2 linked regions of the Drosophila melanogaster genome follow. The protein of the gene in region 1 purifies or fractionates together with the protein of each later gene. This does not show direct contact. Each region holds a gene or a part of one and is shown in the gene's direction. Other genes may lie near its edges.

Region 1 (2,982 bases):
AGCTTTTTTCGCGCTCTTTGTGGAGCGCGGCTTTTGGTAGCTCGCCTGGCAATGCAATTCAGTTGCCAAACAAAACGCGATCGGCTAACAACCTCGTACCGCTCGCTCGCAGCTTTAGCTTTACCGTTACACCAGTGATTGAGCACTACAATATCCGAAAAAACCATGGCTAAATTGAGTGCCCTGCTGCTGCCCGTAAGTTTCAGATAGTTAAATTTGGTTTCTAGAGTGTACCTGCCAAATTAACACCTTGTGGGGGGAGCCCACAAGTCCACTGACACAATTTCCGCCTTTTCTGCGCGAAAGTCGCACCCAAAAAGAAAACCGTCTGCATTGCTCGGAAATAGTGACTTGAATTTCCAATGAGCCCGCGTCAGTTCTTCTTTCAAAATCCATTTGTTTTTAGTTTTTTCGTTTCTCCTTTTTGGCGGCCAGACAATTGACACATTTTCGAATCATATGTGGGCCAAATTCGAAGGCTCTCTCTGGCCATGGGAATGGGGAGACCTTGAATGACACGATCTGGCTCTCTTCCGCGCTCTCTTTTGGCCAAATTGAACGCCAAGCGAAATGTGTCATAATCTCCGGGCAACGAGTTGTGGCCAAGTTGCGCATCGTGGCTTTTATTGTTGGTGTAATTGCATAACCGGCGTCAACAAACCGTTGCTTTCAAGTTGACTCAAAAGCCTGAAAGCGATTTCTTGGCCGTCGTCGCACTCGCATTTATTACCACTTTCGTGCAGCTGACACAGTGAGCCATTGAGCATAAATGTGATATCTAACTTCCCCCTAAATCTAGTTTAGCCAATTCAATTAGCTTTCACATAGATGTGGTTTTTTGTTAGAAAACGAATTAAAATCGTACTTTTACTTACAGCACGACCCTGCTTTTAATTGCTGCAATCGTAATAAAATTAGATTGGATATCTAAAATTTTTAAATCATTTGGTTAATAATAATAATTTACTTCTTAACTTCAAATAAATTTACTCAAATAAATTACGATAAGTTTGAATCCTAACATTATGAGAACTATTTCTAATATTAATTTCACGCCAATAGATGGAGCTTAGAAAAATGACAAAAATTGAATTTTTAACTTTACCCAATTGACTTTTTAACAAACCAATATTTAATGTTTATTAACCACTTTCTTTACTTTCCAGCTAATTTTGTTTATTGTGGCCTTTGTGGCGCACACAACTTTTGCTACAGTGCAGCCAAAAGCACCGAACTTCCAGTACTTCGAAAGGTATGCAATTGTCAATTTAAACTATATTAAATTGAATTTATATAACAATATATTTCAGGCCCAAGTACCGTTATCCCTACTACGATGAACACGGGCGCGGAAAACTTCTCTACGGCTACGGCGGACCGGAATTGTACCAATACAAGACCTACACGCCCTTGGAGGGCATTCACTAGTCCTAAATATCGATTAGATGCAATGTAGTCCGTAATTTATGTATTCTATTATTTAAATTAAACTTTCTTTATTACCCCAAAAAGTGTTTTTGAATTCCTCTCAACTTGAACAATAGATGGCGCTCTTGGTGAAGCGAATGCAATGGTCACATCGAAATGTTGTGTTGCAACCTTACCAAACCTGCAGTGTGACCGCAGCATTGCCGGCATAAAATAACAACTGTATTCACATTTGTTATTTATTATTGCTGCCAAAAGGTTTTGTAAACTGCATTTATTTTGAAATCATCTATTGAAAATGTCCCGCAAAGAGGCCCTGTCGCAGTTCATCAATCAGATACACGGACGCCCCGTCGCCGTAAAGCTGAACAACGGCGTTGACTATCGAGGTGCGTTCAATGAGTTCCCAAACACACTCATCACATTTGACAATTTTCCCAATCCACTGACCAAATTCCAGGTGTGCTGGCCTGTCTGGATGGCTACATGAACATCTGCCTGGAGCAGACGGAGGAGTACGTGAATGGGCAGCTGAAGAACAAGTACGGCGACGCCTTCATCCGCGGCAACAATGTCCTCTACATTTCCACGCAGAAGCGGAGGGTCTGAATACAGGAGGGTCTCAACTGGCATGGCACCATGAAGTTCGTAGTTAGAGAACTCTGATTCCTCTGTTTCCTTCAGAGGGAACCTGCGACAACACAAGTGTTTCATACTTCAATATTAAAGCTGAACCAACTTCTCATCATCCTGTATACAAACCAATTCCAGTAGTTCTTGATATACCCCCGATACATTAGACCTCGTTGCTTCGTTTCTTAAGTTTATTCCATAAATACACTATCTAGAGGCGCTAAATTGCAATCCCCACTCAACTGGGATAGTGCGGTGTGCCATACTCGCGGGGAATGGCGCCAAAGTGGCGCAGTTGTGGCACCGAATACCCCGATCCCAGGGCAGCGATTAGGCGCTCTCCGCGATAGCCAAACTTTCGCTCGTAGACCGGACGCCAGGAGCGACCGAAATGCGGATCGAAGGGGATCTCGCTGGGCTGCTGGAACGGAGAGTTGCCGAAGAACAGGCGGTCCAGATAGTCCAGCACCGCCTTCTTCTTCTGAAAATGCACCAGCAGTGGATTGGCGGTGGCGGCGGTGCGCGGATCCTGCGATGCCAGGTTCTTGAAGTACTGGAAGTTCACCAGATCCACATTGGAGAAGTCAAAGACCCCGGGCAGATCGTGCAGCGTGGCTTGGACTCGCACCGAGGAGCACTGTGTTCAGCCAAGGGCAATGTTAATGGGCTGATTATGGTGGCTGGATGGTTGCTTTAATTGACCACTTACCATTACGGCCAGTGCAGCAATTAATACGTATTTGCACATTGCAATTGACACCAAGATCACCAAGCAGACGACGACACCTATACGCTACCCCACGCGGAATCCAACTGATTTGAATAAATTCGGCCAACTGCAGGCCCATCGATGGCGCTGCCTCCCATGTCCGACTGCCCAGCGATTTGCAATCGGTCCCAGGTCTTGTACTATGTTGCAAT
Region 2 (3,687 bases), on another chromosome or scaffold:
AATAGGTTTCTAATAATCCGATTCTCCAAAATATTGTTCATGTTGGTAAATTTAAATGTAATAAATAGTAAAAGATAAGTTCAAAATAAGCTATGTCATTTGTCAACATTTCCGTAACTCTTTTTTGTAACAATATATAAATTTTGCATGAACATTTTATGGTAATGACACCATTTAAATTGTGCAAAATAGCTCGATATAAAAAACATTAATTCTACAACTAAAAAAAATTACCTATGCGGACCGCTTCAATAAAAATGTCTTCCTAGCTAATAAATATTTTAATAAAGCGAAATAAAAATATGACATTGCATTTTCCTAGTTAAATATTTTTCGTCACAAAAGATGACATCAGAACATTTTTATGGCGATGGTGCGATCGTCACTAGTTTTTAGTAAATAATGAAAAATTTAAATCCAGGAGCAGGATATGAATTAAGGAAGGAGAAAAGTCATTTTACTTAAGTCAACAGCATTTATTTTGGTCCAGCTTAGGGCTGGTCGGTCTGGCCAGCAGAACCACGTTTTCCAAAGTCACATCCCTGGGAACATAGAACTTAAGTTCTGCTTGATATCCGTGGGATCGTAGATGCTCCAGTCGTCCATAATCCAGAACCCGCTTGCACTGTTGGCCAATTTGTTCGCGCTCCTGGCGAGTTAGACGCTGCGTGTTCGTCTCGGTGAGCTGAAAGTCAGCCGATTCCATGGCCTTACGCCGCTCTCGGCTTAAGCCCGTGCCACAAACTGCCCAACTGACCATTTTGGTTAGGATAACGAACTCCCGTGGTCCAATTCCAGCTTCCTGAAGAAACTTGCGTCCCACGTAGGAGCGCCAGGAGCAGCGATGATGACAACACAGGGCGATGAGAACGTAGTCCGAGCTGGCATTTCCATCACCGAGTATACATCTCAGGGTCAAGTCTGTAGCTGCTCCACAGAGGTGCTTCGAAAAAGCCACCGTTCGTTGGGTTTTCTTTAGCTCCGGCAGAGCAGAAAGCTTAAGATCAGCGATATCAGCACGGATACGTTGCACCACCTCCCTGTTGGCCAACTTGTTGTCCTTCTTGTGCCGCAGGGACATTCGATCGATGAGGACCACCTGTGAGTGACTCAACTTCTGTTCCTGCAATACGGTGGCCAAAAAGTAGGCCAATTGTCCCTTTCCGGCTCCGAATTCTATATAGCTCGTGTGATCCATCAACTGGTGATCGTGTTCCAGGATGCCCAGCAAGCTAGTGGTCTGGGTGAGCTGGCGTAGCGTTTCCTGGCCGTAGTCCTTGCGACTAAGTTCCTCCTTTAGGGATTCGTGCTCCAGCTGCAGTTCCTGTATGCTGGAATTGATGTGCTTGTCATACAGATTCTTAACTTTGTCGATCAGACTGTAGAACTCTTCATCCGCCAGTTCGTGCAGTTTTATTTGATTGAATTTGTTCAAATCTTCGTCTGTTTCCTTAAGATTGTCTCCAGAATTCACTCCTTTTACAATGTAGGGCAGTGAACTTTCCTGATCCCTGGCATTGCAAATGGTCAAGTGTTTGGCTAGTTTTCTTTTAAACACGGTATGTTTGTGATCAAGCGGGCAGGGAATACGTTCCTGGAAGGAATCTTCTCTAGCTTTTTCATCGCAAGTTGCAGTGGTGGCTGCCGATGAGGCATGGGCTCCACAAAACTCACTGCCCTTGTTTGCAGTCATCTTGCAGCGGCGCTTTTTGCGTAACACCCAGTAGGAGCAAGTGGTGGTTACCGGCTTCTCCGCCTTGACAGTGGTCATCGTCTCTTTCACAGGTTCCATTCGTTACTTTTATTTTCAAAATAAATTCCTCCCAATTCGGAACTCGTGCCAGGCAGTGTGACCAAGGCTGGCACACTAGATAACACTATTACCAACTTTTCACAAAAATGTTTTAACTATGGTCTTAAATATGTTTACACTTCTTACATTGAATATTTTAATAAGTTTTTTAATAAAAAACTCAAATTGAGCTTGATTTTTCAAAATAATAGTTTATTTAATTTACGCGAATGCCAAACGCCGATAGTTAGCTTTGAAATTCAGGGCTGGTCGAGTGCAAACGTCCTCAGAGCTGGTAACACTGCAAAAAAAACGAAGCCGCGCTGAATACTTTTGCCAACAATAAACGCAGAAAACCAACTGAGAAGCGAAACAAGAAGACTATCAACATCATTTAACAAGCCATAGTTATAATCCGCTATGTAAGTATCCCGGGGCAGATGGGACAAACCATCGGAAATGGCGTAACTGGCAGCGGCATGTGCGCCGGCATTTTGCATTGTTAGCACCACGCTCGAGTTGTGGGTGAAATACTAATGTACTGTGTTCTCTGCAGGGCTCTTGTGAAACCGAAATCGGAGCTGACCCCGGAGGAGCTGGCGCGGCAGGAGGAGGAGGAGTTTAACACCGGCCCGCTGTCCGTGCTCACGCAGTCCGTGAAGAACAACACCCAGGTGCTCATCAACTGCCGCAACAACAAGAAGCTGCTGGGCAGGGTAAAGGCCTTCGATCGGCACTGCAACATGGTACTGGAAAACGTGAAGGAGATGTGGACGGAGCTGCCGCGGACCGGTAAGGGCAAGAAGAAGGTGAAGCCCGTGAACAAGGATCGGTTCATATCGAAGATGTTCCTGCGAGGCGATTCTGTCATCCTGGTCCTAAGGAATCCCCTGGCCACGGCGGCCGGCAAGTAGTCTACCATAGCGATAGCGTACAGCAACCAATATCCATCAACTTCAGTTAATAAATCCGTAAATCAACCAAATAAGTTCTGTGGACCAAAATGTGCCATTAATTAAAAGTGTGAGCTATAATTTACGACGGAAAATATCCCATCCCAGTAACATATCCCATTATAAATTTGTATAACGAAAGTACAATCCGTAATCGCAATTTCTTATATTTTGATTAACATCTTTTAATCGATTTTTCCTAAAGTATCTGTTTAAGATTAAAACGGAATCAATTCTCCGAAAGTTGCTTGTGCAGTTTTGGAACATAGTCGTCGTACTGGGCTTGGTAGAAAGTTCCAGCAATGGGATTGCCCAACTCGTGATTGATGGCAAACTTGGCGGCACTGAATTTGGGGCGATCCTTGCGGGATCTCTTGCTCACGCGCTCCTCGTCGAACTCAAGTTTGCCGGACTGCTTGTACAGCAGGAAGACGTAGCGATGCAGACCCGTGCCCTGGGGCGGGCCGGAGCCAATGTACTCGGCGATGGGCTCACCACTTGCCAAGTCGTTGCCGGCGATGTTGGCCAGAATCCAGTGCTTGAACTCGCGGAACTTGGGCTCCGCTCGGCTGGGGGCATCGGGATCCGTCATAATGAGCGTGTAGAACTCCCCGGGCTGCGCGTCCCACTCCACGACTGGCTGATCCTTAACCTGGGTGGGCGTTAGCTCCACTCCATCCTTGGCCACCAGGTTGTTGCTGTACGTGACCTTGAATAGGAACGATTTCACAGTTATTTGCTTGATTTTTACATTGTTGCGATCTATCAGCTACTTTACTTTAAGTTAGCTACCTTCTGACCTTTGATCAGAAAGTTGTGACGAGATATTTATCTAGATTTCTATTAAGCTCGGGTGTTAAATGTTTGAAATATTTTAACCTGGTCTGCAAGCACGTAGTTGAGTACATACTATTCGGATCCAATTTATTAAGACAAAGATAT

What was found.
Region 2: the proteins of CG9344 (region 1) and SmD2 purify together in Drosophila melanogaster (affinity purification with mass spectrometry, with the first as the bait; one large-scale study listed by BioGRID). This does not show direct contact.

Annotation. Positions count from the first base shown.
Region 1 is NT_033778.4:20,975,429-20,978,410, forward strand, and holds CG9344 (uncharacterized protein), read left to right. Parts: upstream 1-1,627; 5' UTR 1,628-1,726; coding exon 1,727-1,817; intron 1,818-1,888; coding exon 1,889-2,037; 3' UTR 2,038-2,172; downstream 2,173-2,982. Other genes in the region: CG34115 (uncharacterized protein), read left to right, coding at 166-195, 1,167-1,252, 1,311-1,428; CG15650 (uncharacterized protein), read right to left, coding at 2,300-2,698, 2,771-2,809.
Region 2 is NT_033777.3:6,344,298-6,347,984, reverse strand, and holds SmD2 (small ribonucleoprotein particle protein SmD2), read left to right. Parts: upstream 1-2,073; 5' UTR 2,074-2,212; coding exon 2,213-2,214; intron 2,215-2,348; coding exon 2,349-2,706; 3' UTR 2,707-2,974; downstream 2,975-3,687. Other genes in the region: CG18048 (uncharacterized protein), read right to left, coding at 467-1,792; CG17919 (uncharacterized protein), read right to left, coding at 2,975-3,454.